Linked DNA regions of Lonchura striata. The protein of the gene in region 1 interacts with the protein of each later gene in a biochemical or structural test. Links are inferred from orthologs where the notes say so. Each region holds a gene or a part of one and is shown in the gene's direction. Other genes may lie near its edges. The genes, in order: GTF2B, GTF2E1, NR2F1 and GTF2F2.

Region 1 (6,846 bases):
AGATTAAGACCCATGGCCCATATTAGATAATTGCAGTGACTCTCTTCATACCTGCTACCTTCTCTGGCTGCAGAAATTGTATCAGTTAAATAAAGTGAAAAGTGCTAAGTTACATAATTACTATTTTATTCACCACAATAGTCATGTATGGTGTTCTGAAAGTATTCAGTCCTCAATACAATTATAAAAGTGGCATCTGGAATAGGCATTCTATTTACCTCTGGCTACCTTGTATTTATTACATGGATGAATGTACAAAGCAAAATTTACTTTAGAGGCTCCTTTACAATCAGATGTACAGTGATGTAATTATTTGTGTCATTATGTTTCCTTTATATTACAACATTGGCAGTATCACACCAAACTTCAAACTCTTTAGATCTAGGGGGCCATGGAGGTCTAATGCTATTAGCCTAATGCTGCCAATGCTGTTCTATGGAGCTCAACTACCTTGGTTTCAAGCACAGTAGATAAAGGACTTATTTCAAAAGAAGTCAGTATGAAGAATTCCTTTCTAGCTACCTCCTTTTTCACTTCTTTCTGCAATCTTTTCATCTGTGGATGTGTTTCCCACTATCAGAAGCAATCCAGGCAGGTGACTTTTTAAGGCTGTGTGCTATGTCCTCCATGGTCTTTCTATGTTCTTCTCACAGGCTGTCCTGGTTTCAGATGGGATAGAATTAATTTTATTCTCAGTACCTGGTACAGTGCTGTGTTTCAGATTCAGCATGGGAATAAGGTTGATAACACACTGATGTTTTGGTTGTTGCTAAGTTGCATTTATCCTAAATCAAAGACTTTTTTGTGTCTCCTGCTCTGCTAGTGAGGAGGAACAAAAAAAACTAAAAAAGCTGTGAGGGAACGTAGCTGGACAAGTGACCCAAACTGGCCAATGGATACTCACACCATGGAATGTCATGGCCAGTACATCAGCTGGGGAGCTTTTGGCAAGGGGGAGCTGAACGGGGCCTCAGCAATGGGGTCTGCCATCAGTCAGGGGCTGGTAAGCAACTGCATTGTGCCTTACTCATTTTTCCTTTTTCAAAATTCTTTTTGTTATTATTATAATTATTAATTACTATTGTTGTTCTTTTTAACTTTGTTTCAATTATTAAACTGTTTTTATCTCAAACTACAGGTTTTACTTTTGATTCTTCTCCCCATTTCACCAGTCTGGGGTGGTGGGTGAGTGAACAGCTGGGCTTAAACAATGACACAGCTCTTATGGGTGCAAAGCCTGAACAAATTCACTAACTTGTTTTGCCAGCATTTTACTTATTCTGTGATCACACAGCTGGACTCTTAACTGAGTTCCATGAGACTGTAATCATGGCCAGGACCTAAAAAAAGGTATAGAAAGTGGCCTGAGAGAAGAGCTGCTAGATATTTTCGTTAATACTTCTTAGTCTTGGGTTTTTGGGACTCCAGTAGCTGGGAGTTCCACAGTCTTTGTAGCTGTCTTGCATAGCCATTCCCCAGATCTCACCAGAAGATTGTTGGCTGGTATTTTGAAAGTGGTGTGTAGTCTTTGTGTAGAAAAATCAATTCAGTAATTAGATTTACTTAGCTGAAATTTCAGAATTAATTTAATTTAAAAATTCCTATATTAAATTCTAAGATAAACTACTTTTTAGACACCAAATTTGTGTGAAACCTATACTCTCTTTTACAAGAAGTTTACAATCTGTTTATACAAGTTGCACTGGGAGAGCCGTGATGTTGCAAGAACTGAGATTGCAACAGGCTATTGAACTACATGATAAATCAACAAACCATTACAAAGATCCTTTAGACATACAAATAAGAGCCAGTGATTTGTTTTCATTAATGTACTGTTCATTGTGTTTGCAAAATAGTCTGAATATCCCACTGCATTATTGTTGAAATGATCCTGGTAATGCAAAAATTGCAGTTTAATTAAATACTTTTATTACTGACAGTAACCAGCATGAGAAACTTGGTGTGAAATTTTGAGAAGCTCCAGAATGACCATTGAAGCAAGTTTTAAAATAGGATTATTGTTGTGACTACAGTGATGGGAAAGAACAGCTGGGGACAGCAAGGTAAACTTTGTATATTATTAAAATGATCTGTTGACAGAGCATATTAATGGTACTTCCATCTGCCACATAACTACGTTTTTTGTCTGCTACTTGAAAAATTGCTGCAGACAAGGAATAAAAGAACCATTATATATCTATTGTAGTTTTGCAATATATCTGAAAATCACTGTCCTTCTATGGTGAAAATGAAATGCTTTCAATTCTAAGTTAATGAGAATAGGCTTAGAGGCTTGGCAATGGTTGCCAGCAGAACATCTTTTTTGTAGAACAGAATGCAGAAGAAACCAAGACAAACCTGGAAAGCTTGAAGGGACACATTGTGGTGATGAGGCACATCTACTGCAGTCATTGCGCCATACATATTTCAGAGGTTATGGAAAAACCTTATATCATGTGCTATATTCACACCAACAGTTACAGTGACTTGTTTTTCATTACTCTTTCATCTTTTGGTTTTACTGAGCATTTCTGAAAAATATTATTGCAAGTGGAAAAAAAGTTTTAAGTTTGTATCTCAGCATTTCTATTTTCTAATAGTTCAGCTTTCTTATATTCCAAAAGGTTTCTATTTATTTTAGCCTAAGGAATTTGCTGTCAAGTTTAAACCTGCCCATTTTCAACCAGCAAATAGAACTGCAGTTGGTAGAGAAGTGTTTGGAGGTTGTGTGATAATTATTTTGACTCAGTTTTATAAGTATTAGAGATCTTTTCAACCACAGGGGATTTCTTCCTTTAAGCTAGTAAATTGAAAAATATTCTTGTTATATTGTGGAGACATGAGCTCCATAGGTGTGAAAAGTCCTGTGTATCTGATTAATAAATAGATAGCAAATTTATAACTGTTGAGAGACTTCAATACTGATCACTTTAAAGCATTAATGGCACTTTACAAAATTTATAGGCCTTCCTGTCCCATTTATCCTTCTCTTTCAGTGCAGGGAGGCTCATTCTAAAGGAATAAATTTACGTTCCACTGTTTTATATATTGGCCTTGAAAAACAGTTGTTGCTGCACATTCTACAGGCCAATTTCGCATGCAGATAAACTCTTGGGCAGTGAAAACCAGGACTCTAGTGCAGTGCTGAAGGGTTTTGGTCTTGCAAAGACCAGTTTTTGTAGTTTCTCCTCCTCTTAGGCCTGATACTCTCTGCCAAGCTGGATGCGAGGAGGAGAGACAGAAGGGGAGCTGATCCCACCATGCAGGTGTGCGGCGGGACAAGGGAAGCCCCCGGACACCAGCGGGGGGCTTTGTGTTTGCTTCAGTGAGCCCGAGGCGTGAGCGCGGCGCGTTCGCCGCGGCCGTCCGAGTCACGGCCGGCCCGGCACCGGCGGGCCCTGCCCGAGAAGCGCCCGGTTCTCCTCGCCGTTCCTCAGCCCACTGCCAAACCGCAGCAGCTGTGCAGGCGACAGCAGGAAGGAGAAATTAAACTTCCCCTTTCTGGGAATTGGTCTCCGCTTAGTTCCAGAGCCGAGAACGTGTTGTAGCCCATGTACTTCTGCGCAAACTTGGGGCAGCTCTGCTCACGCTTGTCTTCCGTGGGAATTCACGGAACTGCCGGAGCGTGCACAGGAGCAGCTGAGCCGGAGCCACGCCCCGGGGCCGGCACGGTGGGCTTTGTGCGGGGGTCTGTGGGCTGCTGCCCGGGCCGAAGGGAAGGTCCCGGGCCGAGGGGAAGGTCCCGGGCCGCGTCCTGCGGGCCCGCAGCCGCACGGCCCCGCCCGGCACCGCGCGTGCGCCCGCCCCCTCGCGGCACCCGTAGGAGCGCCCGGCGGCCCCGCCCGCCGCTCTCGGGATTTAATCACAGGGGCCGTCCGGCCGCGCGATCTCCGGCGCCGGTGCAGCACCGCCGACATGGCGTCCACCAGCCGGTACGGGCGCGGTCTGGGCGCGGGGGGCCCGAGGGAGGAGAGGGAGCTGCTCCGACATCGCTCCCTTCCGCGGCACACACAGAGGATGGGTGCGGCGCCCCCGCCACCGCCTGGGGACTGACCGGCGGCCATCGCCGCTCTTGCCCGGCCCCGGGGCTGCCGTTTCAGCGCGGCTCTCGCAGTGCACGGTGCGCCGGCCCCTCTGCGGTGTTCTGTCTGTCGGGGCCGTTCCTCAGGGCGGCGGGCGGTCGGGCCTCAGGGCGCCCGCGCCTGTTGGTGTGGGCCGGGCCGGGCGGTCCCCGGCTGAGCGGCCTCTGAGGGCCGAGCTCGCCACCTTCGCATCTTTGTGTCGCTGCTGGTGGGCAGCGCTCGGAGGAGATGCCGAGGTTTTTGGGGGATTTATGACCTGAGCGCCGGGCTCCTTGTCAGCCGCAGCTCGGTGCGGACGGCGACTCGGGCCGGTGTGTCCCCCGAGCGCGGCTGGTTTGGCCGGGCCGTGCCGTGCGGGCCTGAGGTGGTGCCGGGCTCGTCTCGCCGCGTCCCTCGGCCGGCACCGACTGCTGCGGCCCCGTGCCCACTGCTCGGCGAGCCGTGAGCCGAGCGGCTCCCTGGCCTGACTCCACCTTATCGGGGCCTGGAAGCTGCTTTTAGGCTCGCACCCTAAATCCGTACCGCCACTAGTCGGTGACCAGAGGGGTTTCGGGTTCTGAATTCTTGCCTCCTGGAGACGTGCCGAGTTTTTCTTTCTAGTCAGAAAGACCCACGGAGCAGACTGGAATGACTCTGTAACTCCTGCTAAACCTGTCCTGGGATCTAGGAAGTGCTTCCGAGTAATCTTGCTGCGTCTCGGGAGTTATTTGCTGAGATGGGCCTTTACACACGTGACATGCATTTTCCTTGCGTGTAGGTGGCTTAGCAAATTGAACCCATTGCAGGGGATACAATATATATGTGTAGGTAGATAAACCGAGTTAAATTAGGATGGGAAGACTAATTTCTGCAATGTTTTACGAAGGTAAAGTGTGAAACAAAACATGGTTAGTATTCTTTGGGGTGTCTGGATTTCTTTTTTCCTTTTGCTTGGTGTGTCACTGCCTTTTATGTAATGCCAAATGTCAGATGATTGTGAATGCTTTGTCAACAGTGTTGTCATATGAAACTTGTGGCTGGGAATAGAAGGAAAGTAGTTTAAAGAGCTTTCATGTACTGTTTTGAACATAATTTACATCTGAAGATCTTGTGTTGACAAGTGCTTTCTGGAGGTTTTAATATTAATAGTTACGTTGATTTTCAGTTTTGGTTTCAGGTTGCAGACATTTTTGTGAACAGTCAGTGGATTAAAATGTTTGGGTTTTTTGTATTCTAGACTCATCAGAAATATCTAAAAAATGAAAATTAAGATGGGAAGTATAGGTTAGGCTGAATTAATGGCAAAAATAGCAGTGGCAAATGGGTAACTCAGAGTAATTCTATTGGGAAATTTTTTACAATTGAATGGATTAAAAATTGTTTTTTGGTTTAATGAGATGGAAGTTAATAGTCATGATAAATTGTTTGAGATCAAACTTCTGTACTCTTGTGCTTTTAACTTTGAGCAAAATGGCTTTGTGAAATACATGGATCCCAATTGTAAACACTTTTTATTACAATTTTTAAATAATTGGTTTTAGTAGAACTATGTAACAGTTGTTAATATGAAGCATTTACTTTTAAAACGTTTGGTTAGAAGCAATTGGCTGTTACTTTAGTCAGTAACTAAAAGCTATTGCATTAAGTAATGCTAATGCTTTATGGGAAGCTGTAATTGTTAAAGATCCATGGGTGTGAAAGAGATCCCTGTTTTCAGAACTTCTTGTCATATAATTGCCTTAGGACCTGATTATTTTTTAATATTTTGCTATTAATTGCTTAATTTAAAATGGAATTTATTGTTCAAATACTTTAAAATAAACCAGTGTTTGAATTGGGAGTTTTGCAAGCATACATGTTGTATGTGCACTACTTCCCGAGTTAAGAACCTGGTAAATAATATTGTTCTTAGTAGATGGAGTGAAAATGCTCATTTGGAATGAGGAAATTGCCACTAACTTGGGAAACGAAACTGCATTTAGCAGTAGTTTGAGTTATACTGCATTTAGTCAAGTCTGTTACATAGATTTTTAATGTCTTGATTTGAAGTGATTTTGGTACAAGATACATTACAAGAAAATTGGAATTTAAGTTGATCTAAAGTCTTGATTGCCAATTGTAGTGTTACAGCATTCAAATAAAAAGTGCAGCTCAGGTAATCAAGTTAATATTCTGTAATTTAAATCCTTAAATGCTGTATTACTGAAGTTTTCTTATCATCAAGGAACTCTTTTGCTTTTGATATGCAGTCTGCTTGTTTAATAGTAATGAATACTTGTCATTTGTTTCTTAGTTTGGATGTACTTCCGAGGGTGACTTGCCCAAATCATCCAGATTCCATTTTAGTGGAGGACTACAGAGCTGGTGATATGATTTGTTCTGAGTGTGGGCTAGTAGTAGGTAAGTAATTATTAGTATTTTTATAAATTGCCATGTAACCTAAATGGTGTGTGTAGGTTTCTGCCCTCTTGATGTCCAAGTGTGAGTGGTAGGTTTGATGGAGTGTTTGTTTGTTTTTGCTTTTCTGTGTGGGGCTTAGGTTCTTTTGTGATTGTCTGTTTGCTAAAAGCTTACTGCTCTGAATAGCCTGTCTTCTGGTAATTATTGCACTATGAAAATAATCAAACTCTCTTTAAAGACTGAAAATTTAAAATGTGCTATAATATGAGTTAGAGTATTGTGCTGTCTAGTCCTATATTCTGTCTTCATTCATGACTTCTTTCATTCAGGAAAGTATAAGAGATGTTACAAAAGCTCTCTGTGAAATAACTTGCTTATAACGAAA
Region 2 (7,845 bases), on another chromosome or scaffold:
TCTATATTACTGCAGTAGAAAATTTTAGCCTTTTTCTGGTAAACATAATTATTTTTTATCACACCATCTATAAAGTCTGAAGGCTTTTTCTTTGTTTCAAAAGAGTTCAGAGAGAACTACTGCCTTCCTACATTTTCCAGACTTAATGCAAATATATTTGGGGAGGTATCCAAAGGGGAAACAGACACTGGCAAAATTTCATACTCCACTAAATGGCTGGTAAAAGCATGAATTAATAAGACTTACTGCACTTAATCTTAAGTTTCTAGCATTTTTCATTACTATGAGCCTTCAAAATGTAAATCCTGAGACAGAGTCAAGCTTCCTAGCTGTGCTATTAACAGACACCCACTTCTGATAACCACAGTTCCTAACTCAATTACCAACTCCTGCTAGCAAATTTCTTCTATTTATTCACACCTTCTGCAATATGTGGAATGTTCCCACTTCCTCCAGACTTCAAACTATCATCAATTCAAGGATAAAATGCAATTATATCCCTTATCTGCATCAGGATTCATTCTCAAAACACTTCACAGCCCACAGGTGGAAAAAACTCAGTAATTTATCTTTCACCGTAACTTCCAGAGGTGCCACCCACTGTACACGCCATGAACAAACTGCATTTCCACAAATATTTTCCACTATCCCACATGACTGTGCACAGGCTCTCCCACGAGAGTTCCCAGCATATCACAGCTATAGCCCTATTTTCAAGCATTTATCTCAGTAACAGTATAAAAAAGCAACTCTGCTGCATGTCCACCCCCAGCATAGAGAGAAAATGCCTGACACAACATAACTTGGCCTACAGCAACAGATCCAGAGGCACTGCTGCACAACCTGTGAGAAACACTTCCCACCTCCACACACTCTCCCTCAGTTATGTCTGATTGGTCAGTTTCCTTATCTGCTTCACCTAAAACCTGCCCAGTTAGTTGCACCAGCAGAAAAAGACTGTCAACATCCAAAAAGAGCTGGCAGGACCAATGACTACTCAGGGAAATGCTCCTCCCACAACAAGGTCTGCAAGCCAAAGCCTTACTGCCCAGTCACTGTCCACAGATATCACAGTCCCCACACCAGCTGGAGATTCAGCAAAGAAGAAGATCTGTGGATAATCCAAAACCAAAGTGTACCAGCCCTGTCAACAACCCGGCAGCCTGCACAGCTGCTGCCACAACCAAACACTGACTGGCTTTCAGACCACTGCAAGCCCAGAAAGCACAAGCAGTCAAGCAGAAGGAATGTATTCATCTTCTCTTCTTAAATCAGGCCGAGCAGAGGCAATTTGTGAGACAAGCTCTAATGGAGAAATTAATCTAATGAAAGAAACAAGACCCAAGGTTAACTACCAAAGTCAACTCTTCATATGCAAGCTGTCTAATTAGTATCTTTTGGGCAGTGGAGATAAATAACTCTATTTTAATGTCATCAATTATAATTCAGATGCATGAGTCCAAGATTTCATTTTTTAATGGGCTGTTCTAAGGTATTTCCAAGTCTGAACCACACTTCCTGGCACACTGTAGATTTGGGATCAAAAAGAAATCAATTTTTTTTTCATATCCTAAAGAGGCTTGCTTTGAGGGCATAGCTCAACTCGTCTTATACACAGAGATCTGGTTAACAGTATAAGCAAGAGGTAACTAATAGTTTTCCCCTGAGAAAGGAGGAAGAAATAACTAGTTAATCATAGCCCAAAAATGTTTATTGTGTGGCTTAACATGTTATTGAAAAACCTTCAAATGAGTGGGAATAAGCAAAGAGAATCAAACACAATATTTGAGCCAGATTTTCATAAGCTGGTGTTAGTCTGATACACATCTATTTTTAGTGAACTGTCCTGGGATGACAAAAAGTAACAATTGAAATACTGCACTGTTATGTTTATAATCTCTTACTTGCTCTTGTTAGAGACACAAATTAACTACTAGGCATTTAAGACAATATCTCAACAGAAGGCACAAAATACTGCTTTTTACATATGCAGTAAGTGGCAAGGTTTAACTCTTAAAAATAAGCTGGTAAGCTAAATGAGCAGAGGCAAGATGGTAATCAGCATATGGCAATTTTATGGGACACAGCTCAAATCTGCCAGGGTAGGATGTAACTATTGAAGTCATAAAAATTGGAACAGTAATTTTTCTGCTGTAAGTTTTACAACCGAACAGATAAGAAAATATAAATCATAAAAAAATCTTTATAAAATATAAATAATATTTCTGCAGTATAGGAGACCCGGAAAGATGGACGTAACCACTGCACCTTCAAAGCCTCCCTGCTGTGCCAGCTGCATAAGACTGAAGGGGGAGGCTGATAGAGCTCATCTGCCCAGGTTTGCCTGAAATATCTGCCATTCACAACTGAATCCATAAAATTCTGCCTATGAATGGTATCAGGTTTGTTCCTGTATAAATCAGAAAGGAGAACAATGTAGCCCCCAGGCAGGCTGCCTGAAACTCTGCCCCAGAACCAAGGGACAGTTCCTAACAGAAACAGAATTAAAAACCATATTTACACCAAGCACACTTACCATTCAACAAATTATAGAACACAGCTCTTGTGCTCTTCACACTGGTGGCACTGCCCACAGAACCTCCAACATCCCACAACTCAATGTAATAGGTCTTCTCTTCTGGGGTTCCTTCTTTGTAGTCATGGATCTGATGAAAAATTCACATTATACATAACCACAGCACCATGTCACAGGAGTTAATCCACATGGCACTTACACTTCCAGCTGGAAGGATTATTGCACTTGGATAGAAATTTGGAAATTCTCATGCTGACACACTATTTCAAACCTCTTGAGTGGAAGAGAGATGGAATGAGCCAAGCAGCAGCCATTGGGCACCACAGAGATGGAGATCACCATCTCATGTGAGAGGGAGCCTGGTGAGTAAACGGGGAGCACCCTTTGCATCTCAGTATTAACAAACCCAACATCTCATGATGTGCTTGGACACGGTGTTTTGCTAAAGCAAATGGAAAAATTAAGGTCATGACTTCTTAGTTGTTAAAACCCACAGGGCAGCACTGCAAGAATATAAACACAGGTGACAGACCTGGATGCCAACTGAACACATCTTTTTCCTACCCAAACTCTGGCATCTCAACTGAATTAATCAACAACTTCTGCCCCCAGATCTGCTGAGTCGTTTTGCTCCAGAGTCAAAAAGGACTGCCACGTTCCTCTCCTCAGATTTTGGAAATACATTCCTAACCTAGGGCAATGCATTTCAAGGAGAATGCAGCAAAGAGTGATGAAGGAGAAGAGCATTTATCAATGTCCCATGAGGGCTGTAGGCTGGGCCAAAGAACTGCTGGATGGACATCCTCATTCTTCCCACAGCAGGTCCTGCAGCAAGTAGTCAGGAGGAGAAGCAACTCCATGGTCACAACTGTCACCAAAATCCAGGAAATAAACTCTCTAACCCAGTTAGGTTAGAAAATCAACACTACTTTATTCAGCACTGAGGTACATGAGTAGCACTTCACCAAATGTGTACATCAGTCACCAAAAATTAAAATTCTTGATACATTTTGGCAAACAAAGGAATTAGTGCTCACTGGCTTACAAGTAATGCAGTTCTCTTCATTAATTAGTATTTGATCTTCTATTGGTTATTGATTTCTCACTTCTCATGATAACTAGCCTACTTTTTCAGCCTTTTTTATTATCTTTTTCCCAGATGGGGACAGTCTTATTAATTGTCTGTTAGTTTCTTCCTCAGCTCTGCTTTCTGTAACTTGTCTTTGTGGTTTATAAATTCTGCATTCCTGGTGTCCAGGTCTCAACAGTAAATTTCTCTTGTCAATTTCCTCACCCAGCCCTAAGAGCACTGAAGCATGCCAGGCCCTAAATTTTAATTTGTTTTTCTAACACATGAGCATGACCTAGAGCTTTCCTGTGCTCCCACAACCTAAACAAGCAAAGTGTTTTCTCCCACTGTGTTTGGCTGACAACTTGGCCGTTCCTTGCCTGTTTCTCAAGGAACTGGCCACCCTGTGACTTGTAACACACCAGTGGGCACTGCAGCAGGGAGCAGAGCAAAGAGTGTCAAATGTCTTGTCTGATTGTGACAACCTTGGAAGGTCAAAACTCGCTTACACAAGTGCTTGGCTCACATTTGACGCTACTTGCATCAGAAGATTAAGCCTTCAGCAAAACACATGATCAAAGTACACCTCTTTCTGGGGAGGTAAGTAATTAAAATAAAAAGTCAAGGCCCTTCCTTTACACGTCAGGCTCAGGGCCACCAAGAGGCCGTGCACGTCACCTACTCGCACATCCACGGAGCAGCCCACTGTCCAGGACGGATTTCCCAACACCTGGTTGTGGCACAAGAGATGGACGAGCGACGATTTCCCGACACCTGCAAGTGCACAGAAGAGAACAACTCCTGGGAGGCGGTGCCAAGGTTACAGGTGGCGAGGCCCGGAGCAGCACTGAGTCCCGGCGGTCCCGGCTCCTCAGCGGGTGACGGGGAGGGAAGCGAGGAGCAGATGGCCGAGGAGCGGCCGCAGGCCACCCGGCCTGGAGACACGGACTCACCGGAATCGCCCAGCACCAGCACCTTGACCCTGTCCAGAGCCGCCATCTTTACCCTGCTTAGCAACAACGCCCGGCCACGGGGGCGCCCGCCAATCGCGGCGCGTGTTCTTCCCGCTCCTCCCAACCTATTGGCTGCCTGCTCGAGCGGCCGGCGCGGTTGTCACTTCTGATTGGTTGATCCCCGGTGAGGGCGGGAAGGCGCGGTTCTGTGCGGGCAGGCGATTGGCTCGCTTGGCAGGCGCGGGCGGGGAGGGGCGGCGCGGCGCACGCGCCGCTGGCGGTGGCGCTGAGGGCGGCGGCGCGCGTGGCGGTGAGGCGGGCGGCGCCGCCCGGAGCCGGGGAGAGCTGGAAGCGGCGCCAGGTCAGTGCCGGCCCCGGGAGCGGGGTGCTGCCTGCGGCCCGCGGCCCCTGCTCCGCGCACGGTGTGCCCGTCCGGGCCCCTTCCTCGCCTTGGCTCCTCCCCACCGTTTGCCGTTCCTCCTGCGGTGTTTGTTGAGGCTCCTTTGTTTTCTATATATTTTTTTTTCCCTTTTTAAAAAGGAGGTTCTGCTGACCTCCTCCTGCCCTACAGAATCCCACACAGTTCGGTGTTTAAAGCTGAGCACATGGAAGCGGGTAGGGAGTGGGAAGCGGTGCAGACGGGGAGGGATTCTCCCCTCAGGCTGGCGTTGCAGCTCGCTGTGCTGCTGTACGCCCGGAGCTCTGCCCTGTGTGCTTCGGAGGGACATGCGGGCTGACGGGCATCTCAGGAGTAGCTGCCTGGCAAAGTGAGCTCGTTCCTGCTTTGTTTTTGATTTTTTTTTTTTTTTTTTGGTGTATTATATTTCTTCTGGCCTCAGCAGCGTGCTGGTTCCCCGAGTAGCAGGCCAACATCACATCTCATAGTGGCACCGAGCTGCTGTTCAATGGCTCCAGCTATTAGGCTTGTGCCATTCCAAGCAGCTCACAATGAAAAAGCAGAATGATTATTCTGAAAAGGGTGTTTAGCCGTGCACAGCTAAGGTGCATTTTCTTGAAGTCTAGATAGCTTAATATTTTTCATCCACAAAAGGTGGAGTTTTGCAGTGGCATCCTCTCTGGACGTGCTGGTTCTCTTGCTCATCAGAGTTCACCACCAGCTCACTTAACTTGGAAAACATAGCAAAAAGGAGGGGGGAAAAAAGTATTTTCCTACCTTTAAGCAATCAGTTTGGTGCACTAGGTGGTGTGTGAGGGCAGAGCCATGTGCCTGGGAAGGAGAACATGTTTTCAGGCCGGAGTGAGGCTTGATGGGAATTGCATTCCTGCCTTCCACTTCCTGTCACATACAGCTCACTTTCTCACAGGATGCTTTATGGGATTCTTCTGAACAAGAAACTATGTTAATTAAAGCTAATCTAGTGTCTTGTTACTTAGTTTCTTTGTTTCTTTATTGCTTTTATCCAGGGTATGTACTCACCTAACTAAAACTGTACTTAACCCAATGATTCCATAATTTTTCGTTGTCTTTCTGGAAATTCCAAAAGGCAATATTGCTCACATCATCTATCATGATGAAAAGTGTGGCATTACAGGTCTTATTGAATCCATAATGTGAAAAAGCAATTATTGTGTTTTTTTTTTCCTGTCAGAAACGTAGAAAGGAATGCTGGGTTAAGCTCTCTTTGCCTTGGTGTAATCATGACTTCCCAGGCTTGATATGTGACAGAAATGATCTTACTTTCTTCCCTTTAAAGAAACCCCCTAAACCTTACAACTACATTGTGTGAGGGCTGATGCTTACACGTCTCTGAAATAACACATATTCTCCTGGTAGGTTCAGATCAGAGTGTAAATTGTAAGAGGTTCTGGTATCCATAATTAAAATTTTCTAATGGCCTCACATTACAGTTAGGTCAGTTTTGCCTCTGTGGGGAAAGCTCCCCACTTATCTACATCCTTAGCTATGCATTCTTTTCTTTGTTTTGTGTTGGCTCTAGTCTGGTAACATAAATGATTAAATTCTTGAACTTTTCCCCTTTGCTCTCTCTGAAATGTCCCACTTTTTATTTTGATATGTCAGTTTTTCGCTTTTTATCAATTGATTCTTGTTGCTACAGGATTAGTGAATTGCCAGAATTAGGACAGAAAGGTGGGGCTTGTGGCTAAAGGCAAGGAAGGAAAAGAAAGACTTCCTTAGGGGAGGGAAGTTGAAATTTGACTTTAGCTGCAACAGGAAATTTCATCCATTAAAGGACCACACAGGTGGTCCTTTAATTTCCTGACACCTTGCAATTGTTTATGCTGGGTTAAGATTATAAAGGTGATTGAGAATTACATCCTGAGCCTGCATTGTTCAGTTTCTGCCTGGTGTGGTTAAACATTGTGGCCTTACTACATCTGGTTCCATGTGTTTTCACTTGTGAAATTAGGGGAAAAAGCCCTCATTTCAGCCAAGCCCCTCAGCCTTTCTGTGTTCAGCTGCAGCACAACTTCTCATGCTGAGTGAATAAATCCCTTTGATACCTGAGGCTTCCTGGTTTCAGTTTATGGAAAGCCAACAAGACGATGGGATTTCAGTGGACAGAGATTGTTCTTTTCTGCCCTCATACTTCAAGGCAGGTCTTGCAATGAAAATACACTTATTTCTCATCCTGATGTAGTGCGGGAGGAAGGCTGAGCAGCAGCATTTGTGAACTCTCCAGGGAATCAAACTCAGTAAGCTCTTGATAAAATGTCAGAAGGCTTTATTTTGAAATTGATGTGGGATAAAAGCAATTATGGACTCACTACAGAGAAATGCAAGTAAAAACAAAACTCCAAAGTGGAAGATTCTGTGCCCTTTTCTGGAAAGAATGAATAGTGTCTGAGGTTACGTTGTACAGATATTGAAAGTCTTGATGACATATTTTCCCACTGTAGTTCTGAAATGTATGCCTTTCCTTCCTGTTCTCAGGAAGATTCAGGATTTCTTCTCTTAGCTTAACCGCATCATCTTCTGAAAAGCAGAATTTTAAATCAAGTTAGAGTGTGAGACTACAAGCTGGGATCTGGTGTTTGCAAGTGACAGCAGGAGCAGAATATTGTTGTACCTGCTACATTCACAGGAGAGGGGATTCTCTTATTACAACCTGATTTTGATTTTACCTGAAGAAACTATGTCAGTGGTGCAAGCAAGTAATATTTTTCCCCTTTCTTAAAAATTGTGTGTCAGAAGCTTGCAGAAGCATTTTCTAAGCAAATCAACAAAAGCTGGTTTCAAAGATTTAGTGGAAAAGAACGCTAATTAAATAAATTTGGGGAAAAACAGGAAGCACCTGTGCAAGTGT
Region 3 (7,123 bases), on another chromosome or scaffold:
AGGGCCTCATTGAAAATCTCTTCATTATTTCGGGACAAAATCAAGCGTTTATTCTGATCTTAGAAATGATGAAGGAATCTTTTCTTCAGGAGGCTCCCAGCCTTAGATTTCAGAGTTGACAGGGAAAGAAAAAAAAATATAATGATCACTATACATCAAATCTGAGGGGCTTGGTTTTTTCTCTCTACTTTTAATTAAAGCAACATCACTTTACAAAAATAAATAGTAACAATAAAACTTCTGTCACCTATTTAATTCACTTTCCTTCTGTAGGTCTTCCATCCAGATTCTAATCTGATTATAAACTTTAATGGGAGGTAAGAGAAAAATATAGTGGTGAGTAGAGGGGCTTGGGGTGTTAGTTTTGGTGGGATTTTTTATTGCGGGGAGAAGCTGTTCAGTTTTTACAGTCTGCTTCTTCTTTGTCACATTCAGTCTTTCGAACCCAAGGCAAATTTCAGATCGCTGACAAAAGGGAAGCTGCCGATAAGGCTGGCTTGTGAGAGAGACAGAAATTGAAAAGAAGAAGGTCTTCTCCGCAGTTTAGTTTTCTATTGAAAACAATTGTTTTTAAAAAAGCAGAAATGCATTTTTTGTTAAATCGGGGATGGGGTGGAAGGCCGCGGAATGGCTTCCCGGGCTCCCCCGGGCCGACGGCTCCGTGCCCACTAGATGGCAGCCGGAGCCAGCGATTCCTGCTCGCCGGGGCCGGAGCCGCGCCGGGCCGCGGAGGGGAGCCGAGGGGCAGGAGAGGGACCGACAGCCCACCACCCCCCCGCGCATCCTCCTCACCCGCCTGCGTAGGGAGAGCAGGAGACCCTGGGGAGGGGATGAAGCGAAGGACATTGCGTGCAGGACCGTTTGGGGTTGTTGTGACTGCTCACACACTCCCAAAATAAAATTAAAGGGTAGGGGTGAAACCCCCGCGAGAAGCGTGGAACCCTGCGGGGTTGCAGGTGGACATGTTAGGTGAGGAATGAGGGGGTGAGGGGCGAGGGACAGGCTGCAAAAATAGCCCTAAGTGGGATGGGAACATATGGGGATTTGAATACGTGTGTGGACTCGAGCGCGTGTGTGTGCAGGGGTGTGCATATACGGGTGCCTGCTCCTCCGTGCAGCGCGCGTGTTTCCTTCTCATCATTAAAAACCCTGGAGTGGCTTTTGCAACGGGAAAGTGGAAGGCAAATCCCTATTTCAGATCTGTAGTGGGGAAAAAAAGACCAAAAAAAAATTCCCCCCCCCAAAAAAAAAAAAAAAGAAAAAAACAAACACAAAAAAACCCCAACCCACACTAACTTTTCACAGGGAGCCCATATCGTGTCCTTTTATATGCACCTTTCTACCTTTCGCAATGCATCCTCCTCTGTGTGATGGGGTGGGGAGGTGGGGAGTAGAGGGGCCATAGATGACCCATACTACTCAGGTCTCAAAGTAAATAGCAGCACAGGGGGATCTCAGTGTAAACTGTGCTTGTCAGAAGAATCTCCTCTCTCCCTCCCTTCCTCCCCCCTCCCCTTCTCCCCTCCCTTCCCCATCCCATTCAGTAGGTAGCAGAGAATGTTTTTTTAATTTAAATTTTTAAAAATTAAGAGATAGAAGAGAAGGAGAAAGAGAAGGAGAAGGAGAAGGAGAAGGAGAAGGAGAAGGAGAAGAGAAAGAGAAAGAGAAAGAGAAAGAGAAAGAGAAAGAGAAAGAGAAAGAGAAAGAGAAAGAGAAAGAGAAAGAGAAAGAGAAAGAGAAGAAAGAGAGAAAGAGAGGGAGAAAGAGAGGGAGAAAGAGAGAAAGAGAAAGAAAGAAAGAAAGAAAGAAAGAAAGAAAGAAAGAAAGAAAGAAAGAAAGAAAGAAAGAAAGAAAGAAAGAAAGAAAGAAAGAAAGAAAGAAAGAAAGAAAGAAAGAAAGAAAGAAAGAAAGAAAGAAAGAAAGAAAGAAAGAAAGAAAGAAAGAAAGAAAGAAAGAAAGAAAGAAAGAAAGAAAGAAAGAAAGAAAGAAAGAAAGAGAAAAGCGCGGAGGGGGTGGGAGCTGGGGGGTAACCAATGGAGTGAAGGAGGCTTGGCTAACCTTAGCCTCCCAATTTCTCTCCCCCCAGTTCAGGGCTCTGACCAGTCAGTCGCCTTTGATTATCAGTTGCCAGCAGCCCTTCTCTTGGGTCCTTGACACGAGCTCCATATAAGGCAGCTATCTCCATAGAAACGTGTCAGTTTCAATAGTAGTGTCAAAGTTCACTATATACAGACATTCGCGCAGATCCCCCTTTCGGAAACATTGCTTCGCTAGGCTCACCGTTTAAACGCATTCATTTTTTGGGTCTCTCTCTCTCCCTCTCTCTCCCTCTCTCCCCCTCTCTCCCTCTCTCCCCCCCCTTCTCTTTCTTGCATATTCTATTAGTTGTGTGCCCCCCCTTCATCTCCCTCTTCTCCTTCCTTTTCTTCTTTTTTCCACCCTTCCTCCTTGTGTCTTTCGCTTCATTCCTGCAGGAGAAGAGGAGAGAGGTGAAACTGAAAAAAAAAAAAAAAAACAAACTCGGAAAGAAAGAAAGAAAAAAGGGGGAAAGGAGAGAGAGAGAGAAACAGGGGGGAGGGGGAAAGTCCGGAGAGAGAGAGAACGCGTTCACATCTTAATACCGTTATTATTTTAACCATTCTTGCCTATTTTTTAATTTTGGGGGTGGGCTTCTTTTCTGGGTGATGAGTTTTTACACGAAATATTTTTTTTAAGCAACTAAACAAACAAACAAAAAGAATCTTTTTGGGACTATTTCCACCGATTTTCTTCCTTTTTTTTTTTCCTCGCAACCAGTATCGTGCGCTCTCACAGAAGAACACCGAAACGGCAAGAAAGAGAAGAGGATTTATTTACCGACCTACTTTGGATCTCTCTTTTTCCTGCAAGTGTCGTTATTATTCCCGTTCTCTATTTTTACACTTCGCCGTGAATTCGTCTCCTCTGCGAATTTAGTCACATCCGATTTTTTTTCTGCGATTTAAAAAAAAAAAAAAAAAAAAAAAAAAAAAAAAAAAAAAGGCGAGAGAGAGCGCGAGCGAGCGAGAGAGACAGAGAGCGAGAGAGAGCAGCTCGGGAGAGAAAGAGCAGCGACCGGCAACCTCCTCCTCCTCCTTCCCTGCCGCCGCGACAGGAGATCAAACTGCCTCAGCTCCCTGCCCGCCTCCGCCGAGCTCCCCGGCTCCACCGCCCTGAATGGCTGACGGCGCACTGCCCTGGACCTGGCCCCCGGACACCTCCATACTCTGATCGCCGACGAGCGGCTCCTCTCTCGACCTCCCGCCTCCCCGAGAGCCCACACCGGCACCGGCGGCAGCGACAGCGGCAGCAGCCTCCGCGGGAGCGGCGGCGGCCGAGCCCCGGCGGCGACGAGCGGCGAGCGGCGACCTCCTCCTCCTCCTCTTCCTTCCCCTCCTCCTCCTCCACCTCCTCCTCCTTTTCCTCCTCCTCCTCCTCGGCGGCGCCGCGGCTTCCTCTATGCCTGCACATCCTCCGCGCTCGTAGCGCCCGGACCGCGTGTGCCTGTGCCCGTGCGTGTGTGCGTGTGCGCGAGTGGGGAGCCGTGTGCCGGGCATCTGCGCGCGTGTCTGCCTGCGTGTGCGTGTCCGGCGTGTTACTCTCCTGAATGCCTCTCCCGACAGCCTTGTTTGCCGTTTCTGATTTTGCAACTTGAAGTGGCGGCGGGGGGGGGGGGGGGGGGGGGGAGGGCGAGGAGAGGCAGTGAGAGCCGGGGAGAGCGGGAGCAGAGGGGAGAAGCGGTCAGGCGGGGGTATTTTAAAGAGGGGGGAGCGCTGGAAAGGGCAGGGAAGGAAAGGAAAGGAAAAGGAAGGGAGGAAAAGGAAAGGAAAGGGGGGGGGAAGAGAGAAAGAGAAAATCCTCCGTCGCCCCCTCCCCCTCTCTAAAAAAAAAATTAGCAAGAGCGCGAGCGAGAGGAGGGGGGCTCTCGGCGGCGAAAAATAAATAAAATAAAGAAAACGGCAGGAGCGGCTCCAGCCGGCAGCAGCGGCGGCGGCAGCAGGGCAGCGGCGGAGGCAGCAGAGGCGGAGGCAGGCGGCAGCAAGGGTCCCCTCGCTCTCCGCTCGCCCCCGGCGCCCGGGCGGCCGCCACCCCCCCGCCCCCCGCCTCACTCCCCGGCAGCCCGCAGCGAGACGCGCCGCTCCCCAGCACTTTTTTGGGCCCGAGATATGGCAATGGTAGTTAGCAGCTGGCGAGATCCGCAGGAAGACGTGGCCGGGGGCACTCCGAGCGGCCCCAACCCGGCCGCGACGCAGCCGGCCCGGGAGCAGCAGCCCCAGCAGCAGGGGAGTTCGGCCACCCCACACACCCCGCAGACCCCCAGCCAGCCGGGACCCCCCTCCACGCCGGGCACGGCCGGAGACAAGGGAGCGGGCCAGCAGGGCTCGGGGCAGAGCCAGCAGCACATCGAATGCGTGGTGTGCGGAGACAAGTCCAGCGGCAAGCACTACGGCCAGTTCACCTGCGAGGGCTGCAAAAGTTTCTTCAAGAGGAGCGTCCGCAGGAACTTAACTTACACATGCCGCGCCAACAGGAACTGTCCCATCGACCAGCACCACCGCAACCAGTGCCAGTACTGCCGCCTCAAGAAGTGCCTCAAAGTGGGCATGAGGCGGGAAGGTGAATATTTCTTCACTACTATGCTATCGCTCCCCTCTCCCCTTGGCTGTGCAGGCGTGCGTGTGCGAGGGCTCTCCGTCTGTCTGTGTCTGCCTGTCCGTACGCGCACACACGCGCACCTATATGCATATACATATAGCTATACACACACGCGCGCGCGCACACGCGCGGCGTGCAAACACACACACATATAAATATAAATATGTAAAAATAAATACACACACACATATATATATATGTGCATATATATATATATATATATATATATATATATTTACAGCTCTCCGTAGCAATCCAGCCAGGACTCTCTATATATTTCCATGCACATGTCAATCTCTTCCTCTGCCTGCACTCCATCTGGCAGCTTTGCACCAGGTTCTGTTGTTATTGTCGATGGTGGTTGGTGGTGTTTTCTTTTGCTTTTCGGTGTGTGCCTCCTGCCCTCCCTCCCGCTCCTCCCCACCCCCTTCTACAGCACTGCCACACTCTCCCCTTTCCTGATAATTGTGCAGAGAATTTATTATTATTATTATTATTACTACTATTATTACAATCGCTTGCTAAATATTTATCATTTAGCCGCTATCCCCACTTCCCCCTGCTCGCGCGTGTATGCGTGTGTGCGTGTGCGTGTTTTAGATGTGGTTTTGTCTATTGTTGGCATGAGACCGGAGGGTGGGGGGAGATACATCTTTCTCCCGTACGAGATGTGACTCCATTCAGCTTCCTTCCCCCTCACCCCCTCCCCACCCCCTTTCCACCCCATCATTTCTTTTTAAACCTGCAATACCTCTCGGTATTTGAGATTCATCTCTCAGGCTCATTTTACCCGAAAGAAAGATGAAAGACTTGTAATTAAAGAAAGAGGAAAGGGTGTGAAAAAGATAGAAGGGAGAAAAGGGAAAAAAAAAAAAAAAAAGAAAAGGGGAGGAAATGTGCTACTCTGTCTTCGCTTCCATGTGCTTCCCGGTGCCCAGGAGTGTGCTTCTGTGAGAGATTTGGCCTTGTTTTCATTCCATGCATTCAAAGGAAAGTTTGTGACTGAACCGTGTTTCTGTACTTCTGTCATTTTTTTTTTTTTTTAAGTGCGCTGCTCATTTTATTTCTGCATCAAACTCCACCCTCTCCTTAAAGTCTTCATACAAATCTCGATTTATAACCTCTTTACCGGTTCTTCTCATTTTAGCAGCATCCGCAGCCTGCATCTGGCACGGGGTCCCCACTATTTCCAAGCGCTCTGCTGATTTTTTTTCTCCTTCTTTCCAAAAGTTGTCTGTGGTTTTCCTTGCGTTCAGACTCATCCTCGTGTAGGGAGAATTGCTGCCCTCCTTTCTCCTTGAAACATGTTCTCTCGGTTTAAAGTTTACCCTGTGACTGTCGTTAAAGATGTTCTAAAGATGTCACGTCAGCAAAATAGGTGATTTTGCAGAGCAGGGATTTTAAAACTGTATTTTATATGCCACGGAAAAAGAATTTGAATTAGGCTGCTCCAGATCTGAAAGAGCTCACAAATATGATGGCTTCATTGGTAGTTGCAGGGGCTGTTGGTAGGCACCTAGGAGAGTGGAGGCAAGCAAATTTTTTTTTAAAGGAAGGAGAAAAAATTAAAAAAAAAAGTGAGAATTATGCATGCAGTTAAATGAAAAATATCTGCCAAGTTTACAAGTAGATTGAAGAGGGAGAGGTAGGCTGAAGGGCAGCAGGACAGAGATCTGGCCCGGGTGGGAGGAGGGCTCGTCGGGGAAGAAAAGAGAAAGTTGAGAAAAATGTGGCGCGCCGGAAACATGAGTGATTGCATGTGCGGGTGTGTGCCTGCAAACGTGTGCGGTTGTGCGGGGTGTCTGTGTGTGCAGGGTACAAGCCTGAGTAGCCGTATCTTCCCCTGAAGTTACATTTGTTTACATGGCAAGCGGTTGCAAACGCTGGCACTGAAGGAATAAAACACACGCACACACTAAAGAAAAAAAAAAAAAAAAAAAAAAAAAAAAAAAAAAAAAAAAACCAACTTTGGTCAGCTTTCGGGACTCGAGGCATGCTTACGCTCTGTGTGGAGATGGTTAATGAATCCAGTGTTTTTGCAGTTGCAAGCTTGTGCATTCACTGTGCAACGCTGACTGCAGGCTTTTGCAGTGGCAACAGCTCACCAAAGATATTAATTACACCGTCCCCTTTTTTTTCCCACGAATGTTTGGCTATTGTAAGTTCGGACATTTTTATTTTATTTCCCCCTTTCCCTTGATAATATTTAACCTTTCTCTTCCTTTTAGCAGGGAAAACTTTGCTGGGCGGGGGAGGGGGGTCTCGATGGAAAGCTGGTTCTGTGTGATAAAGTTAGCAGTGGGGAGCTGGAACGCTGCGACCTGTTCCAGCTTGAAGGGTAACGTCGAGGTATTTTTTGAAGAATATGGACGCATTTGGTTTTATGAATTATTTTATTTAATATTTCATTTTAAAAAGGGATACATCAATTTACTTGTGCATTTCAGCG
Region 4 (7,982 bases), on another chromosome or scaffold:
TAGTGGAAAGTCCAGGAGATGAGCGACTATAGATGCTGCTGACCTTTTGTGCTGAGGTAGTACATTACTAGAGAAGAAGATCAGAAAAAATATCAAGGAGTGCAGAAGAACAGGTTAAACTCAGTTCTATGTAACATTTTCTATATACCTACAATGAAAAGGCACTTTAGAAAGTAACAAGTTGATGAAACCTCACATTACCTTTGTACTATTACTAGGTTGAAAATGTTGCATGCTTAAAGCTCCTTCTTGAGAGACAATGGTGAAAAAGGCTAGATAATATTTTTTTATGCCTGAGAGGCACAAAAAGTACCTTGAGTTAAAAAGATAATGCCGATTTTATGGTCATTAAAAAAATTATTTTAAATTAGGTTCAAACCAAGTATCTGAAATTCTCTAACAAGTGTTTTCTTCCTTTGAAAAAAATAATTTGCAGTTGCGTCTTTCAATTTTCTCTCTTCCCCCACTCCCACTCCTTCCTTGATATGGTGAAAATCCTAATAAGCAAGAGTACAAGCTGCCTACAGCCAAATTTACTGCACACTGTCAATCTGATGGAAGACATGGTATGGGTTGGAACTGCAAGCAGAGGCGCAGCACCATTACTGTGAAAACGAAGTATTCTCCAATATATAGCATAGATAAAAATGTATGGCTGTAAATATATAGAAAGAATTAAAAATTATAAATGAATGAATGAAGGCTGCCATCTTTTCAGAACTGCCTTTTTGTGTTGTGTTTTGCAGCAGAAATGCCATGTTGAAGATTTCATACTGCCTAGGATTTTACTGAAATAGGAGCTCAGCCCTGTGGTTGATGTTTTCCAACTCTGTGCCACAGAACAGCTTGGACTAAACAAGTCTGTTATTAACATGTTGCTCAAAAGCAGTTTGAAAACACAAAAGCTCCAACATATATTTTGTCTTAAAAAGACACACTGGAAATTCTTTGCTGCCTCAGGAAATAGGTATGCAGACCATACCCTGTTTTGGAGTAAGTTACGCAGAATTTATTTTCTCTTATTTAAAAATAAATAATAATGATCTGCCCAGATGTTCTTTTTGTCTTTGCAGATTATTTCTTCTCTTTTTTTCCAGCTTACACAGACCAACTGCACCACAAACGAGAGAATGATGCATTACAGTTGAAGATGGCAAAAGTTTTCCCTCCTCTTACTCAAGCAGTTCAAACAATAATGGTAGTTTTGAGATTTAAGTTTGAGTTTTTGTGGCATCCTCATAAGTCCATGAGGTCTTTGCTGACTGAAAATTCAGGTATTCAGAATAAAGGCAGCACTCATCTCCTCCAGCACATGGAATCCTCTCTGATGGTGTCCATCGCTGATACTCTGTGGGAACACCGGCTCCCAGGAGCACATCTTCCCTAGTTCTTGCTGGGCTTTGAGGAAAGCACATGGGTTCCAAAATGCAAAACTCCCATCAGCTTCAACAGGGAAGCATCAGGCTTTTTGCATCTTCCGCTGCACTGATTTTCACCAACTACCACCAGGTTGCATCAATTAGCCTGTTCCTAAAACATTTGAACAGAAATTCTGTGTGGCTGCTGATGATGCTGCCAACTCTTCATCTCACCTAATAGGACAAGAGGAAAATAAAAATGAAAGGCTGTGTAAGTCTCAATTTGGCCATCTCTCTTCTCAGACACATCTGTTTCCATGCAAGCAAGAAGAAAATGGGTGACTAACACACAGCTCTGCAGCTCAACAGCTGGCCCCTGGGTCCTCCTCCATGGCACTAAATGTGTCCCTGGTAAACACAAGGTTGAGATTTTAAATGAGGAATTAATGAAAATGCGTACTTTTTCCTGCTTGTTGTCCCTTTAAATTCAGTTTCCATGGAAACAGCTATGGAAAGGCTGCCTGGAGGAAGCCAGGAAAGATCTCTGCCTGGTCGCCTTCCCCTCTGGGTTGCCAGCTGAGCCACTTCGATTGTCAGGCTTTTACAGAGGTTTTTGCTATCGTCATTTACACATGGAATATGAGTGATGACTCCTCATGGATTCCCTCCCTAAGGAGTCCTGAGGTGGTCAGCCATGCTCCTGCCACCTGCTGCTGGGCTCTCTGCAAGTGGAGCTCCTCTCCTTCCATCTGGTGGAGCACAGGCCCATCTGAGCCCCCATGATGCTGCTTTGCTGCAAATGTCACCCCTGTTAGAGACATCCATTCCATTGCTTTTTTCTTTTGAAATGTGATGGTGCATGTGATCTGAGTACACAGACTGAGCTGGGAGCAGTGGTAGAGGGACAGTTTTGTTGTTAATTCAGTGTTTATCCCGGGGGAACATTTGAGATCCCTCCTGGAGTACTGCATCTAGCCCTGGAGCTCCCAGCACAAGGCAGACACTGACCTGTTGGATAAGGTCTGGAGGAAAGGAACTAAAATGGTTAGAGGGCTGGAGCACCTCTCCTATGAAGACAGACTGAGAGATTTGGGCATGTTCAGCCTGGAAAAGCAGAAGCCCCAGGGAGAACTTTTTGCAGCCTTTCAGTATGTTAAAGGGGCTCACAAGAAAGAGAGACACTTTTTATTCGGAGCCTGTAATGAAAGGACAATGTGCAATGGTTTCAAAGAGGGTGGGTTTAGATTGGACATCAGAAAGAAATGTTTCCAAATGAGGTTAGTGAAACATTGGAACAAATTGTCCAGAGAAATTGTGGATGCCTTATGCCTAGAAGTGTTCAAAGCGAGGTTGGATGGAACCTGGATGGACCTGAGCAACCTGGTCTAGTGGCAAGTGTCCCTGCCCAGGGCAGGGCGTTTGGAATTAGGTGGTCTTTAAGCTCCCTTTCAACCCAAATTGTTCTATGATCCTATGAGCAGGATCCAAAGCAGGTTGTAAAGCAATGGTGTTTGTCTGTGTAGATCCAGATCCACTCTTTTTCCAGATGAACAAAACCAAAGGGTCTTAGACCTACAATATTTGGGGGTGACACAGTCCCAGAAAATGGGGCTGGTCTAACTACTGTTGAGATGCACCCACTTCCATTTTTATTAGCATTTGAGGAGCCCTTAGTAGGCCTATGTAAGGTTGTCTTAAAGAAAACTGAATTTTCAGTGGAAGTTAACTAACAGTAAAAGATTTATCCACCCTCCAAGCTGAGTTCTACAGAAAAACACAGTTCAAATGTAAAAACAAAAGCAATTTTAAAATGCAATTAATTTTAAATGTGACTTACCCTAGTCAATATAATAGTTCAGTGTTAGCCATAATTGCTTCAGATACATATAAAAATGTTGTCCTCCTTGGTTACCTAGATGATTGCCTATAATTAGAAAGGCAGACTCTCATATCTGAGATATAATACTACTGAGATCATTTTTTATGAGCCAGATTAGCAATTTCCTGCATATTGTACCAGAAAATACCCTCTGCTTGCTGCTGGTACAGACTCAGATAACCTTCACCGTTGAGCAACCAGACTTCAAAGAGGATGTAAACTTGTACTGGGGGCAATTCAGAGAGCAATGGACATAGCCAGAGGTCTAGAGAATAGACCTATGAGACTGAACTGAACAAACGGAAGTTATTTAGTATGAGAGGAGGTAAATCAAAGGGCTACATCTCAGTAAAAGGATAAAATAAAGAAGAGAGGAAGCTAATGAAATGCTTTCCATGCCATAGAATCATAGAGCAGTTTGGATTGGAAAGGACCTTAAAAATCATCTAGTTCAAACCCCCTGCAGTGGAGAGGGACACCTTCCATTAGACCAGGCTGCTCAGAGCCCTGGCAAACCTGGCCTTGAACACTGCCAGGGATGGGGCATCCACAACTTCTCTGGGCAACCCATGCCAGTGTCTCCAGCATGTCCATGTCTTTCTTGTGCCTATAGTGGATAGAAGGGAGATAACAAAGTTAAACTGCAAAGGGGGAAAACTTCCCCAGAGATAGTGACAACTGTAAAATAAGGACTTGGGTTTTTCTTAGCCAAATACACCCACCTCAACCTAGGATGGGCAGGCACTTTCCTGACACAGGACATTTTCAGTGTCTCAGATGCCCTCCTATCTTTGGACAGCCTAGCCCAACACTTCCTCATGAGTTCTCTTTCTGGAAAGCTAAGCTTAAATCTTTACTTTTTATTCCCAGGAAGTGATTCACCAGCTGTGTTTTCTAACTTTCTTGGCCTTTGAGCACACCATGATGCTCTGATTCCCTTTCACAGAAGCTAGTCCTCTAGCCACCATTTCCCTCCTAAACAGAAGGGCACTATCATGGTAGTACCTCCTCTCTCCAGGCTTCTCCTCCAGTCCTTCTAGATCATTACAGCATGCTGGGATAACTATTCTGGTACCAGGAGGGAATAACTTCCTGCTATGCTCTGCGCTGGTGCTGCCTCACCTCGAAACCTGCGTGCAGTTTTGGGTGCTGCAGTGTAAGAAAGACATTAAGCTGTTGGAGAGCGTCCTAAGGAGGGCAATGAGGATGGTGAAGGGCTTTGAGGAGAAGCTGTATGAGGAGCAGCTGAGGTTCCTTGGTCTCTTTATATTGGAGGAGACCGAGGGGAGCTCTCGCTGCAGTTACAGCTTCCTCGGAAGGGAAGAGGAGGGGCAGGCACTGATCTCTCTCATAACCAGTGACAGGACCTAGGGAATGGCCTGAAGCTGTGTCAGGGGAGGTTCAGGCTGGGTATCAGGAACAGGTTCTGCACCCAGAGGGTTGTTGGGCACAGGAACAGGCTCCCCACGGGAGTGGGCACAGCACCAAGCCTGACAGCGCTCAAGGAGCATTTGGACAGTGCTCTCACTGTCCAAATGCGACACTCGGGCACGTCCTGTGCAGGGCCGGGAGTTGGACGCGATGGTCCTTACACGTGCCTTCGAACCTAGGCTATCCTGTCACACAGGAACTTTCTGCGGGGGATTCCCGTCCCTTCCCACGGCCCCGCCCGGGCGGGGACCCGAACCCGCGGCTCCGACGCAGCGGGGCCCGCCCCGCCGCGCCGTGCGGGCGGAGGAGGTTTGTCCCTCACGGGCCGCCGTGTGCCGGGTGCGCTCCGCTGCCGCGCTCGTCTCGCCCGGCGCCCGGCCCGGCCCGGCCGCTGCCCCGCCATGAGCGACAAGGGCGAGCTGGACCTCACCGGCGCCAAGCAGAACACGGGCATGTGGCTGGTGAAGGTGAGGAGCCGCGGCCCCGGGCCCGGCCCAGCGCGGCCTGTGGCAGCCGGGTCCCTCCGTTCGTCCCGCCCCGCCGTGCCCGGGTTGGCGCCGTGAGGCCGCGGCTGCCGCGCCAGGCTCGGCCGGTGGCCCGGGACAGCCGCTGTGCCTGCTCCCCTTCCCGGGGACAGCGCGGGCTTGGACCCCGTGCCCGATCAGTAAAGGAGACACCGCAGGGCTGCCGGGAGCTATCACAGAATCAGAATGTTGAGGGATTGGAATGAGCCTTACAGTTCATTCAGTCCCAAACCCCCTTGCGGTGGGCAGGGACATCCAGGACTAGACCAGGTTGCCGAAGGCCTTATCCGGCCTGGCTTTGAATATTTCTAGGGATGGGGCATCCACGGCTTCTCTGGGCAACCTGTGCAATGTCTCACCACCCTCACAGTAAAACATCTTTTCCTTGTCCTTGCTAGTGGTTTGCGATGAGCAACAAACGTGGCCATGTAACTTTTATTTCTCCAAAACTTTGAGAGTTGGACAATGTTTTGAATGTGCCCAGATTCACGTCCTGATTAAAACTGTCCACATCCAGCAAGGAAAGAGGATGCCAGTGTCTTGTCATTACAGCTGCCTTTGGTGCTAGTGAAATACAGCTGTAGTGGGGGGGCTGTGAAAAGGTAGCGAGGGTGTCAAATCAAACCTGTTTGGTGCAGGGCCACAGTCCAGCCTGGTGCCACCACTAACAGGCTGGCATTGCTCTGTTCCCTGGAGTCAGTGTTTTTGCTGTCAAGACATTTTCCTGCCAATACCAAGCATTGTTTCAGAAAGGGGAACTTGAAGCTGATGGGGGAGCATGTGCCCTGCCTGCTTCGTGTCCCCTCTGGGTGTGCTCCTCTTTTTCTAGACCTATATTTATTCTGTCTTGGGAGAAACAGTTCCTTCATCCCCTTTGTTCTTTAGGAATAGTTTCAGACCATCAACTTGAAAGAACCTGTGGGGACAGGTACTAGTCCTGGGTGGTGAGGGGGGTGTAACATCATCACACTTCAGCTACTAAAACTGCTTGCTGCGGCCCTTAAAAACGGTTGGGATTTCAGACTTGCTTTGCTGTGCAGAATTTTTGGTGGGCAGGTTGCTGTGTTGGCTTCCTCTTCTGATGGCTGAGTGTGTGATATCACAAAGCCCCAATGAGCACTGTGCAAGTGCTCTAACTGCAATAGCTTTTCCCTGGTGGCAGCAGAAACCTGCGGAACTGGATCATGACGTTCTGAGTGACAGGATGATAAAATGGCAGATGAAATTAAGAAATTAAGATCTGAAAGAACTAATCTGGTGTGCTTAGAGAAAAACTATCAGAATTATTTGTATGCAGCAGTTGGGTTTCTGCTGGTTGTTGTAATTCAGGAGGAGTGTTTTTTTCTGTACATGGAGATAACTCTAAGAATATGTCAAATGAGCAGAGCCAACATTGGACATGATTACAAAAAGCACAGAAAACAAAAGAGAAAATATTCTTGTACCATCATGTTGCCTCTATCCAGAATGCTCTGCGTAGCCATGGTCTCATTCCCCCTACTGTAGAAAGTGTGCAGACCCGGGAACAGTAAAAAGGAGATCACCAGATCTTGTCTTGGCAACAAGGAATGATGGCTGTGGAGGGAACTCCTAAATACCAACCTTTTAGGCTGGCAAGAGGATTGATTTGGAAATCTTGCAGAGATCTGAAGGAATGAGTAATGTCATGGGTGGATAAGGAAGAAGTGAATAGGCAAAGGTGAACAGGAAAGAATCAGTTCAGACACAAGAATTAGAGGTGTGTCAGATTAATTAATTGCTGGGGCTCAGCAAGAGCAAAGGAGGTATTGTTTTGCACAATGTGCATTTAAATTTTGGAACTTCTTGCAATTAGGAGTTCTGAATTTCAAAACTTTGCAGAAGCTCAAACACAATCAAATTCTGGCAAGAAAATTGACTTCAGAGATTAAAAAGTAATATGCTGACAAACCCCATGTCTGCTAAAACACCCTAGAAATTAGAAGAGCATGCTGGGGAAATAAATTTTCTTCGTATGTTCCTCCTGAAGTAACTGCCACTAGCTGCATTTGGGGACAGGACACTGAACTTGCTTGTCCTTTAGTCTGATACAGTTTGATGTTTCCTGAAGCAAGGACTTTTCAGGCAAATTTGTTCTTACAGCTGGTGCCACTCTGTTTAATGAGAAAACAGGACTGAAAGGAAAGCTGGACTATTACTCTTCCGAGTAAATGTTGATGTAGTCCTTCATGCATGTGTTCTGACCTTACATCTGTCTTCTTTTTTAGTAATGATAGTAAAAAATACTTAAAAGATGCTAACACTGATAGATGATAACATGGGGTATGCAGGATTTTATCTTTTGATTTCCTTTGGACTTGAACTTGGAAACAACCACATCTGTTAGTAGGACTTCCAACTCAGAGGCAAGACAGTGTAGTGTCTGTGTAGTACCTGTACTTTTTATCTTCACTAGCTAGGGCAATGAGGATGAATTTATCCTTCCTTTGAGGGAGAGAGCATTCAGTTCTGATGGAATAAAAAACCTGGCTTATTTGATTTCCTTTTAGCATGCTTTGTGCTAGCACAGGAAGTATTCCAGAGAGGCTACTTAACGGGCAATAAAAAAAGGTAGTGATGAGTATTTTAGAAGCATGAGCAGTAAAAGGAGGTACTATAAAGAGAGTGAGTTGCTTTAGTACAAATCCAGAAAGCCACTAGATTTTTATTTTTGTGTTTTCAGTGAAAGCTAAAGTGGAGAAATAGTAGTAGTATTTGGTTATGTACTTGTGGTAAAGTGAAGCCCATTTAGTGTTAGCCATTAGAATGTTA

The links.
Region 2: the proteins of GTF2B (region 1) and GTF2E1 form a complex in vitro, tested with the Homo sapiens proteins (2 studies listed by BioGRID). The link is inferred for Lonchura striata from reciprocal best matches to the Homo sapiens genes GTF2B and GTF2E1.
Region 3: the proteins of GTF2B (region 1) and NR2F1 form a complex in vitro, tested with the Homo sapiens proteins (2 studies listed by BioGRID and IntAct). The link is inferred for Lonchura striata from reciprocal best matches to the Homo sapiens genes GTF2B and NR2F1.
Region 4: the proteins of GTF2B (region 1) and GTF2F2 form a complex in vitro, tested with the Homo sapiens proteins (2 studies listed by BioGRID and IntAct). The link is inferred for Lonchura striata from reciprocal best matches to the Homo sapiens genes GTF2B and GTF2F2.

What each region holds. Positions count from the first base shown.
Region 1 is NC_134611.1:19,524,421-19,531,266, reverse strand, and holds the start of GTF2B (transcription initiation factor IIB), read left to right. Parts: upstream 1-3,844; 5' UTR 3,845-3,915; coding exon 3,916-3,932; intron 3,933-6,354; coding exon 6,355-6,461; intron 6,462-6,846. UniProt on the Homo sapiens protein: General transcription factor that plays a role in transcription initiation by RNA polymerase II (Pol II). Involved in the pre-initiation complex (PIC) formation and Pol II recruitment at promoter DNA.
Region 2 is NC_134604.1:27,752,157-27,760,001, forward strand, and holds the start of GTF2E1 (general transcription factor IIE subunit 1), read left to right. Parts: upstream 1-4,832; 5' UTR 4,833-4,919; intron 4,920-7,845. Other genes in the region: RABL3 (rab-like protein 3), read right to left, coding at 2,537-2,666, 4,288-4,379, 4,559-4,604.
Region 3 is NC_134642.1:68,473,277-68,480,399, forward strand, and holds the start of NR2F1 (COUP transcription factor 1), read left to right. Parts: upstream 1-4,115; 5' UTR 4,116-4,184; coding exon 4,185-4,635; intron 4,636-4,835; exon of another isoform or gene 4,836-6,819; coding exon of another isoform or gene 6,820-6,832; intron 6,833-7,123. UniProt on the Homo sapiens protein: Coup (chicken ovalbumin upstream promoter) transcription factor binds to the ovalbumin promoter and, in conjunction with another protein (S300-II) stimulates initiation of transcription. Binds to both direct repeats and palindromes of the 5'-AGGTCA-3' motif.
Region 4 is NC_134604.1:60,919,845-60,927,826, forward strand, and holds the start of GTF2F2 (general transcription factor IIF subunit 2), read left to right. Parts: upstream 1-4,980; 5' UTR 4,981-5,069; coding exon 5,070-5,135; intron 5,136-7,982. UniProt on the Homo sapiens protein: TFIIF is a general transcription initiation factor that binds to RNA polymerase II and helps to recruit it to the initiation complex in collaboration with TFIIB.